Linked DNA regions of Oryctolagus cuniculus. The protein of the gene in region 3 interacts with the protein of the main gene of each other region in a pairwise test. Links are inferred from orthologs where the notes say so. Each region holds a gene or a part of one and is shown on either strand. Other genes may lie near its edges. The genes, in order: CINP, ACCS and FBF1.

The links.
Region 1: the proteins of FBF1 (region 3) and CINP interact in binary tests that used the Homo sapiens proteins (3 or more experiments, as listed by UniProt). The two-hybrid records come from large-scale screens. The link is inferred for Oryctolagus cuniculus from reciprocal best matches to the Homo sapiens genes FBF1 and CINP.
Region 2: the proteins of FBF1 (region 3) and ACCS interact in a two-hybrid assay, tested with the Homo sapiens proteins (2 studies listed by BioGRID and IntAct). The two-hybrid records come from large-scale screens. The link is inferred for Oryctolagus cuniculus from reciprocal best matches to the Homo sapiens genes FBF1 and ACCS.

Annotation. Positions count from the first base shown.
Region 1 is NC_091451.1:45,546,996-45,550,641, forward strand, and holds part of CINP (cyclin-dependent kinase 2-interacting protein), read right to left. Parts: intron 1,706-3,646; coding exon 1,576-1,705; intron 1-1,575. UniProt on the Homo sapiens protein: Component of the DNA replication complex, which interacts with two kinases, CDK2 and CDC7, thereby providing a functional and physical link between CDK2 and CDC7 during firing of the origins of replication.
Region 2 is NC_091432.1:21,568,710-21,572,355, reverse strand, and holds part of ACCS (1-aminocyclopropane-1-carboxylate synthase-like protein 1), read left to right. Parts: intron 1-424; coding exon 425-470; intron 471-553; coding exon 554-695; intron 696-3,455; coding exon 3,456-3,598; intron 3,599-3,646. UniProt on the Homo sapiens protein: Does not catalyze the synthesis of 1-aminocyclopropane-1-carboxylate but is capable of catalyzing the deamination of L-vinylglycine.
Region 3 is NC_091448.1:4,735,265-4,738,910, reverse strand, and holds part of FBF1 (fas-binding factor 1), read right to left. Parts: intron 3,585-3,646; coding exon 3,557-3,584; intron 3,316-3,556; exon of another isoform or gene 3,189-3,315; intron 2,391-3,188; coding exon 2,349-2,390; intron 855-2,348; coding exon 764-854; intron 205-763; coding exon 141-204; intron 135-140; exon of another isoform or gene 1-134. UniProt on the Homo sapiens protein: Keratin-binding protein required for epithelial cell polarization. Involved in apical junction complex (AJC) assembly via its interaction with PARD3. Required for ciliogenesis.

The DNA.
Region 1 (3,646 bases), on a different chromosome or scaffold from region 3:
GTGCTTCTCCTGGTCTCCCATGTGGGTGCAGGGCCCAAGCACCTAGGCCATCCTCCACTGCACTCCCAGGCCACAGCAGAGAGCTGGACTGGAAGAGGAGCAACCGGGACAGAATCTGGCGCCCTGACCGGGACTAGGACTAGAACCCGGTGTGCGGTGTGCCGGTGCCACAGGCGGAGGATTAGCCTATTGAAACATGGCGCCAGCCCCTCAATTTACTTTTTAAAATTTTTTTGAGTTGAATAAATTTTATTCATGTATCTCAACAGACTCTCTGATCTTTTTACTAGTTCCTAATCAGTTTTTTCAACTTTTATTTAATAAATATAAATTTCCAAAATACAGCTTTTGAATTATAGCGGCTTTTCCCCCCATAACCTCCCTCCCACCCGCAACCATCCCATCTCCCACTTCCTCTCCCATCCCATTCTTCATCACGATTCATTTTCAATTATCTTTATATAGAAGATCAACTTAGTATATACTACGTAAAGATTTCAACAGACTGCACCCACAAAGACACACAAAGTATAGAGTACTGTTTGAGTAGTAGTTTTTTACCATTAATTTGCATAGTACAACACATTAAGGACAGAGATCCTACATGTGGAGCAGGTGCACAGTGACTCCCGTTGTTGATTTAACAATTGACACTCTTATTTATGACGTCAGTGATCACCCAAGGCTCTTGTCATGAGCTGCCAAGGCTAAGGAAGCCTCTTGAGTTCACCAACTCCAATCTTATTTAGACAAGGCCATAGTCAAAGTGGAAGTTCTCTCCTCCCTTCAGAGAAAGGTGCTGCCTTCTTTGATGGCCCCTTCTTTCTGCTGGGATCTCACTCACAGAGATCTTTCATTTAGTTTTTTTTTTTTGCCACAGTGTCTTGGCTTTCCATGCCTGCGAAACTCTTATGGGCTTTTTAGTCAGATCCAAATGCCTTAAGGGCTGATTCTGAGGCCAGAGTGCTCTTTAGGACATTTGCCATTCTATGAGTCTGCTGTGGATCCTGCTTCTTATGTAGGATCATTCTCTCCTTTTTAATTCTATCAATTATTATTTGCAGACATTGGAATGACCTCAATTTATTTTGTAACTAAAACAAAAAGGAGGCCAGCATGTGCAGTAATGAGTAAAGCAGCTGCCTGCGAGGCCGGCATCCCACATGGGCGATGGTTTGAGTCCCCGCTGCTGCACTACTGACCCAGCTCCCTGCTCATGCACCTGGGAAAGCAGCAGCAGATGGCCCAAGTCTGTGAGCTCCTGCACCCATGTGGGAGATCTGAAGAAGCTCCTGGCTCCTGGCTTTGCATCGGTCCAACTCCAGTTGTTGTGGCCATTTGGGGAGTGAACCAGCAAATGGAAGCCTTCTCTCTGCCTCTGCCTCTAATTCTGCCTTTCAAATCAATCAATCAATCTTTAAAAAAGAAAAGACACCCCTGTTGCCTTTCCTCCTGAAGGATCCTTGTACTGAACTTCAAAGCCTCGTCAGCTTTTTCATGTACTGAATCAAATGATGCTAAACATTCTTTATAACCTCTGCCTTCCGAAAAACCAACTCAGAAAGAACAACTTACAGAAATGGGCTGTGGGCCACGTGTGAAACATAGGGGGCCGTTGACTCTGCTCCCCATAATGGTAATTTTCTAGTTCACAAATTCCCTTGGTAGTTGAAGACAGCTTTTCCATCTTCACCTGTATTTTGGTCTGAAAAGATATTAGTTTGGAATATAAGAATATAATTTGAACTCTCCAGTCTCAAATTCAATAACCGTAAGTTTTCAAAGCAAAGAAGTCTTAGTCTATTGAGATCAAAATGCCAATAAGTAAATACCATTAACTCCATGGAGGATAAATTTCCAGGGAGTTAGAAGGAAGATCGTTATGATTTCATTAATTTGGATTACGTGGGTAATAAACTCCAGATTTCCAGTCCTGAAAAAGAGAAATTTTCCCAGCCCCACTTCACTGAGGTTTCCGGGGGCCAGGGTTGTGGCCTGCAATGCCACTTGCACCACGAGCTTCCTACACTGGAGCACTGGTTCAAGTCCCAGCTACTCCATGTCCAATCCAGCTCCCTGCTCATGTGCCTGGGAGGGTAGTGCTTGGGCTCCTGCACCCAAGTAGGAGACCCGCTTTGGGGTCTGGGCTCCTGGCTTTGGCCTGGACCAGCCTTGGCCACTGCATCCACCTGGGGAGGGAACCAACAGATGTAAGATCATGCTCTCTCTCTCCCCCTCTGCTGATGCTCTGCCTTTCAAATAAATAGATCTTCACACACACACACACACACACACACACACGAAATCTCTGAACAGCACTGATGTTTCAGTCCCAAAGATCTGGAGGAATCCTGAGGTCAGCTCTTGCTGCTTTTATGGAATGAAAGACAGGAGAAAAGGCATTAAATGGGCTCATTTCTGACTGAAACTCATTTACCAGAGGAAAGATGAAGAAGATGATGACAGCTGCCCTTGGTCCTGAGCCTAGGCCACTGCAGGACGTGTGCCACCACCCCCACTGCACACATAGGCACACAGGACCGTGAAATCCCTGCCTTCCCAGGGCGCCAACAGCAGTCAGTGTCCACGAGCACAGAGGCGACGTGGAGGCAGGTAAGGATCTGTTACATGAAGTGATGGTAAAGGGGCTGGGACTTCAGACTTAAGCAGCACAGGTCTGTGATGTCTGAATCCCAAACTCCTGAGCAGACTGACTTTAGGTGAGGAAGGAAAGAAACGTAAACCATCAGAATCTTAATCCTTGCACTTGGTCCTTGCAGCCACTCTCCAACCGCACAGGAAGTGGAAGGCTCTAAATTTAGCTAGCATTGATTTTTAAGGGACTTCACTCCCTTCCAAAATCTTTTTAGGCTCAATATTTCTTTGGTCCAACCCCACGAGGAAGGACTCAGCATTTCCATTTTACAGCAAGGCGAATCGCTCAAGGGTGAGCGAGGGAGGAGGCTGTGCCTTGCTCTGCTGCCACCTGGTTCTAGGAAAAGCTGAAGAAGAGCGGGCGCTCCAGGGGAATCCCGGCCCTCCAGCTCTGTAGGTGGCCAGCAATGGACACCCAGCTGCATGGGCGTGTGCTGACCCGGACTGAGAGCACGGACAGCGCCCACACTGCCACTTTGACCTTGGCAGTCCCCTCCTACAGCCAACACAGACTGCACTGAGAAATGTCAGTTCACCTTAAGGGAAGAGGGCATGAAACTCAGAGAAGTCAAATTTATTACAGACACCTACTTAAAGCTAAGACTGGAAAGCCATTTTCTCTAAAGGCTGCAGGAAAATAGGAAAACTAATCTTAATACCTTTGCATATCAACTTCTGTTTTATTTATTTACATTTCATTTCAAAGGCAGAGAGACAAGAGGTATACTATCTACTAGTTCACTCCCCAAATGCCCGCAGTGGCCAGGGCCAAGCCAGGCTGAAGCCGGGAGCAGGGAACGCAGTCCAGGTCCCAGATGTCGGCAGCAGGCACCCCAGCAACAGCTGCTGCAGCCCAGGTGTGCATTAGCAGGCAGCTGGACTGGAACACAAGCTCTCTGCCTCCCAGCTTTACGTTCTGAACAGAGAATGAGAACTTATTTCCAAACCACTTTAAAATAGAATGTATTTACTAGAGCGGAAAACTTCCAAC
Region 2 (3,646 bases), on a different chromosome or scaffold from region 3:
GCAAGGTCAAGGGCGCCTTTTGAGGATGTGACACTTGAGCTATGCTGCGAATCAGGACACAGCCAGCTTTTCCCACAAAGGGCCAGGTGGGAAGTATTTTAGACTCCTAGGCCATTTGCTGTTTGCTCTTTCACTCGCCCCTGCTGCATAGTCACTGTGTGAAGGGATGAGCATAATCACTGTGCTCTGATAAAACTTTATTTACAAAAACAAGCCGCAGGCTGGTTTGAGCCTATGGGTTGTGCTTTGTCAAGCCCTGCTCCAAAGGATGCCTGGGAGTTGGTGGTTCAAAGAGATGACCCCAGGGCTTGGCCTGGGGCCCAGAGCCAGATCCGTCCCTCCGTCTCCTCATCTGTGCAAGCAAACACGCGTGGGCTGCCCTGCTGCTCTGCTGGGCCCTATTCCCACGCTGTGCTCTCTGCAGGCTGCCAGACCCCCAGAGGACCCACGTGATGTGGTCCACCAGCAAGGTGAGGTCCTGGCTAGCCGTGGGGGGCGGGCAGGGAGGTGGGAGGAGAGGGCTGGCCGTGGACTAAAGTGCCCGTTCTTCCAGGACTTCGGGATGTCTGGGCTCCGCTTCGGCGTGCTGTACACAGAAAACCAGGACGTGGCCACTGCGGTGGCTTCACTCTGCCGCTATTATGGCCTTAGTGGCATAGCCCAGCACCAGATGGCACAGCTGCTACGAGACCACGGTGACTGCCTGGGCCTGGTGACCTGGGAATGGGGAGGGAGGGCGGCAGTGAGTCTGGGGTCGTGGACGCTCAGCCCAGAGAGGAACTGAGAGCAGGGATTGAGAGGGCCAGCTGGGCTGCCCGGACTGAGCCTCGCCTACCCTATCACTTCCCAGCGTGCATCACCTTGCTTCCCGTACAACGCCCCAGCAGGGGTCCTAATGGGACCTGCCCTGTGGGGTTGGTGTGCTTGGTAACTCAGCACTGAACCTGGCCTGTAACAGGGGCTTCATTGGTGTGAGCTCACTGTTATTAGTCGTGAACACCACTTAAAAGACAGCAGAAGCTGCTTAGAGAAGATTGTTACGATGGAAGTCTCTCTCTCTCTCTCTCTCTCCCTCCCCCCCCTCTTCCTTTCCCTCTCCCCCCTCCCCCTCTCCCTCTCTCCCCCTCTCCCCAAATCTATTCTGTTTCCAAGTTCACATAGTGAGCGTGGATAGCTTGCCGTTAATTGCCTCCATGCCTTGAGCCCTGCAAACACCCGTGCTGTATCATCTCACTTGTCCCTCTCCGGAATCCCAGGCAGCAAGAAGCCCTGTTTGCCCTATCACTCCCCTTATATAAGATGATGGAAATGAGTCTCAGAGACCACACACCTGCTGTCAACAGCTAAGATTTAAAGACACAGGGACACCCAGCATTGACACGGGTGCGGCTCGGACTCTCACCCATGGCTGGTGGAAGTGTCAGTGGTTCATCCACTCTGGAACACAAGTCGGCAACGTCTCAGAAAGCTAAACCCACCCTGACGGAATGACCCGGCTATCCTAATACCACGCTCTGCACGTCGACAAGTTGGTCAGTGACGGACCTCACGTACGACAGCAGTCCCGTGAGATGTTATCCCCTGGTGACGTCATAGCCATCCTAGTGTTGTGGCAGGACACTCTGCAGCGTTCACACAGCGCTCCAATCGCCCAGTGACGCATTTCTCAGGGTGTGTCCTGATCTTTAGGCCACACACAGGTGCCTCAGCGCTGACGGCCCCACACATCTCGTGAATGTGTAGCTGCTCTAGTCATAGCTGCCTATCGTGGGAATCAACCCAGATGCCCTGCAGAGATGGCTGGAGCCGTGGGCTGTGGCACGTCCACACAGTGGAGCACTGTTCTACAGTAAAACTCATGGCAACACAGGCCGCTCTTCAAAGGCATCGGGCTGAGGGAAAGAAGCTAGCCCCAGAAGATGGCGTGCTGGAGGATTCTACTTCTGTGACATTCTGGAAAGTTCTATGTAACAGATGAGTGATTCATGGCCAAGAAGCGGAGGTGACTCGACACAGCATGAGGGTCCTCTTTGGGAAGATGGGACTGTTCTGAATCCGACTCTGGTGGGGGCTACACAAATCTATACGTGCATTTAAATTCATAGGACTTCACACAATGAAGCTTAAATACAAATGAGGATCAGCCAGGTGCAGTTACCCTGGGCTCCACTGATGGGCCTGAGCTTTGGGCTGTGTGATGTGAAAGCATGATTTTAAAATATTTATTTATTTATTTGAAAGGCAGAGGAGAGACAGAAAAAGAGGGAGAGAGGGGTCTCCTGTTTGCTGGTTCACTCCCCAAATGCCTACAACAGCTGGGGCTAGACCAGGCTAAAGCCAGGAGCCAGTGACTAAATCCAGGTGTTGCCCACAGGTGGCAGAGACCCAAGTATTGGAGCCGTCACCTTCTCCCTTGCTGGGTGTTCGTGAGCAGAAGTCAAGATGGAGCCTGGACGTGAACCCAGGCACTTTGATAAGGGATGTGGGCGTCCCAAGTGGCATCTTTTGTTTTGTTTTGTTTTGACAGGCAGAGTGGACAGTGAGAGAGAGAGACAGAGAGAAAGGTCTTCCTTTACTGTTGGTTCACCCTCCAGTGGCCACTGCGGCCGGCATGCTACAGCCGGTGCACCATGCTGATCCGAAGCCAGGAGTGAGGTACTTCTGGTCTCCCATGTGGGTGCAGGGCCCAAGGACTTGGGCCATCCTCCACTGCACTCCCTGGCCACAGCAGAGAGCTGGACTGGAAGAGGAGCCACCGGGACAGAATCCAGCGCCCCGACCGGGACTAGAACCCGGTGTGCCAGCACCACCACTTTCTAACCAGATGAACCTCTGGCTTGGGTTCTGCGTCCTGAGAAACTTGTCATTCTCAGCTGCAGAATGGAGTGCAGGACCTGGCGCTGTCAGGGCGGAGTCTGGATTTGCAGTCCGTGTCCCGCCTACCCCACGGCCAGACGGAGGGGCACTTGGCACAGTCACTTGGGGCACTTGGCACGGGCGGCTGGTGGCCTTTTTCTTTTCTTTCTTTTTCAGATTTATTTATTTACTTGAAAGAGTTACAGAAAGAAGGAGAGGCAGAGAGAGAGAGAGAGAGAGAGAGAGAGGTCTTCCATCTGCTGGTTCACTCCCCAGTTGGCCGCAACGGCCGGAGCTGTGCTGATCCGAAGCCAGGAGCCAGGAGCTTCTTCGGGGTCCCCCATGCAGGTGCAGGGGCCCAAGGACTTGGGCCATCTTCTAGTGCTTTCCCAGGCCACAACAGAGAGCTGGACCAGAAGTGGAGCAGCCAGGACTCGAACTGGTGCCCATATGGGATGCTGGCACTGCAGGCAGCGGCTTTACCCACTATGCCATAGCGCCAGCCCTGGTGGACTTTTTCTTTCCAGCCTTTAGACCAGCGGGGTAGAGTGGAGGGTTGATGGGACGTTGATCTTTGACTCCCCTTTCACCCACAACAGACTGGATCAGCCAGGTGTACCTACCGGAAAACCACGCCCGGCTCAAGGCTGCCCACACCTACGTCTCTGAGGAGCTGCGCGCCCTGGGGATCCCCTTCCTGAGCCGCGGGGCCGGCCTCTTCATCTGGGTCAACCTGAGGAAGGTAATGGAGGTGGAGATGCAGGCCCGGAGCGAGGTCCAAGCCTCCCTG
Region 3 (3,646 bases):
ACTGTGTTGTGGGACGGCGGCTTGTTGACCTCTAGGCTTCAGCTCCTCTGTGAGTGGCCACACCCTTGGTGGCCACACCGACGCCACTGCTCCTCGGTATAAACCAGCAGGCTGCGGACCGGAGAACGGGCCAGGCTCACCTCGGCGTCAGCTTCTGCCAGGACTTCCCTGGGGCCGAAGACGTCGTCGTCTCCCAGGAGGGACCTGCAAAAGCGTGGCAGCGGTGCTGGGCGCCAGATGACTCTAGGGAGGAGTGGCCCAGAGTACAGGTGGACCTGCACAAGGCCCTTGGGGAGGACAGAGCAGCTGAAGTGAATGTCACAGGCCGCCATGCAGGGACTGCCAACGTCTTAGAGTAATGCAGCCCCTTTAAAAACAGCTACAAACGAACTGCTCCAGCCACAACGCAGGGGGAGGGTGGAGCGGTCACAGAGCCCCTCCGTGTGTCCCACTGTCAGGAGAGACCCCCAAGAACGCACACAATTGGAAAATCACCCACCCAGGCCGAGCCTCTTGAGGACAAGGAACCGAGGCCCAGGAATGGCCAAGGCCACATCTGAGTGACAGCCCTAGGACCAGGAGCCAGGGCTTTGACCTCCGGTTCGTATCTGTATCTATTTCCCCAGACTTGTTCAGTACCAGGGCAGGGGTGCGGGAAGGGGGTGGAAACCACTGACATTCAATGGCACAGCCAAGCGGGACGCCAAGAGCACGGGGGCTGGGAGGGTCACAGGTGCCCCAGCCCGTCGGATCCGGTGCTTACTTTGCTCCGGTCTTGGAGGGGAGCCCCCGAGATGCACCCACGGTGTCTCCGGCACGCGAAGCTCGATTAACAGGCGTCTCAGGAAGCATCTCTGGCAAAAAAAAAAAAAAAAAGACAACAGAAATGCCGTGACGCCGTGATGCTGTGGCTCTGCTGGGGAGGACGGCGAGTCCCCACCAGCTGTCTCCAACCTGAATCAGGTGGCGGTAGATCTGCAAAGCGGAATTCAACCCTCAGTGCCAACCAGAGGCAAAGGAGGAGCCCAACCCACCCACAGCCCATGCACACGCAGCGGGCCGAGGGCAGGCCGGGGCACAAGGGCTTTGTGGGTTCTCTTGGCCATGTCGGGGAAACCGAGTCCTCCCGTCCCTGAGGGAGACTGTGTGGTCCTGTTGCAGACACGGGCGTCCTCTGCTCACAGCCAGCGAGGGCAGCAGAGCCTGGGCCCCTGCACCCGTGAGGGAGACCAGGATGGAGCTCCTGGCTCCTGGCTTCAGCCTGGCCCAGACCCGGCTGTCGCAGGCCTTGGGGGAGTGAACCAGTGGACAGAGAAGCTCCCTCTGTCTCCCTACCTTCCTTTCTCTGTCACTCTGTCTTCCAAATAAATAAATCTTACAAAAAGACGGAAAATAAGCATTGGCGCGGATGTGGAAACACTGGGATTCTCTGGCATCGCTGGGGGAATGGAAGGTGGCACGGCTGGTGTGAGAAAGCGTGGCAGCTCCTCACAGTGTCAGACAGAGCCGCCACGTGAGCCGGCAGCTCCTCGGTCCATGCAGAAGGCGCCCGTCTACACAGACCTGTGCACGGATGTGCACAACAGCATTGCTCCTCAGGGCCAAAATGCGGAGGCAGCTCAGATAAACACCCGCCAGCTGATGAATGGGTGAACAAAACGGCCCATCCGCACAAGGGGTATTATCCAGCTAAATGGGTACATGCCACAGGGCACCGAGTGAAAGCCAGACGGAAGGGAGGCCAGCTGGGGCAGGAGACCATCTCCTGTCGAATTCCGGGACAGGCAAATCCACAGAGTAAGTGGTTGCCTGCATGCTGGCAGGGGGGAGGGCGACTGCCTGGTCATGGGGACGGGCCTCTCACAGGTGAAGACAATGCCCTGGAGCTCGGCGGGGGTGACCGCTGAACAACCTTATGAATATTCTAAAAGCCCCCGCATGGCACACTAAGAGTGAATTTCATAGTATGTGAATTACACGTCAATTAAAACAAAGCCAAACCTGGGGGCCAACGTCACAGCACAGCAGGCTAAGTGGCTGCTTGCAATGGTTGGAGCGCTGCTCTGCTTCCCATCCAGCTCCCTGCTGTGGCCTGGGAAGGCAGCAGAAGACGGCCCAAGTGCTTGGGCCCCTGCACCCGTGTGGGAGACCCGGATGGAACTCCTGGCTCTGCCCTGGCCCACCGCTGGCTTTCACAGCCACCTGGGGAGTGAACCGGAAGGTGGGAGATCTGTCTCCGACTCTCCTTCCCTCTGCTGTTCTGCCTTTCAAATACATAAATAAATACACCTTTTCAAGAAAAATAAAACAATATAAAACCCAGGGAACTGTGGGGGAGGGGCACTTACTGTCATCCCCCAGAAGGTCACTGAGGACATCATCAATGGAGCCTGGAACAGAAGGGGGGACACGGTAACTTCAGGAGGAAGAAAAGTGACCCTGAACACATCCCAGCCCCGGATCAACCCCAGGGCCTCAGCCGCCGCAGATGCGGGAACTCAGGCCAAGCTCTCCCTCTGCTGGCCGCAGACGCGGGGCCTTGTGGAAACACCTGAGGCAGACATCTGAAGTGACCTTCTCAAAGAACTACGACAGGACGGGTTTCCTTTCTGCCTGCCTCCCCCGACAGACTTGCACAGAATCAGCCCTTCAGACTCAACGAAGCCCGTGTGGTTGTTTGGGAAGAGCATCCAAGATCTCTTTCATGCCGCGGCCTCCCTGCACCCTTCCGGCTGAGCCCCCGGTCTAAGCGCTGCCCCCCACCCCCGCCATGAAGGAGGCGCAGCCCTAAGCACAGAGCCGAGTCAGTCCTCCCGTCCAGCCTCAGCATCTGCACTGCCCTGCATCCCAACCACGTACAAGCCCAGTGCGGACTTTTTTTCTAAAACCCCACCTCATTTATTTCTCAATTCTTCTGCAGGACCAATGAGGTGGCATATGGGGGGACCCTAGGAAGGTCAAGGCTGCCTGGGGAATTATGGGAAAAACAGCAAGACTTGTACCCAGCACTTTAAACACAGACATGGATAAACTGCTTTTGGACCCAATGTGTAGGGGGGTGAACACATGTGAAGGTACTTCAGAAAGGTTGTGGAGGAGGCCTTTGCCACTCGGGCACCCCCTCCCACACTGGGGTGTCTGGGGTTGACTTCCTCCTCTGCTTCCAGTCCAGCTTCCTGCGAGCGCACCTGGGAGGCAGCAGGTGATGGTCCAAGTCCGTGGGTCCCCGCCTCCTCCCTCCAGCCCCACTGTGAGACAGGGATGGAGCTCCTGGCTCCGGCTTCAGCCTGGCCCAGCCCTTACTGTTGGGGGCACCTGCGGAGTGAAGCGGGGGATGGAAGATGGGGCGCCCTTCTATCCTGACCCCGTGTCACTCTGCCTTTCAAACAAATCTTCTAAAAAAGTTTGTGGAAAGTGGAATTTATTAAAACATAAGCTTATGTTGGTGCAAAGAATCCTGGAGTCCATGCATAGTTTTTTGTAAGCACCCCCCATGCACTTCTTGAAGAACCTTCATCGTATTTGGTTAAGGCTGCTTTTCCCTCCTTCCACTTACCTTTCAATCCTTTCTTGGCTTTTGGTGCCTAAAATGGGACAAGCAAATCACATTAACAAATTCAAACAGGGAACACGTGTTCAAACTGGA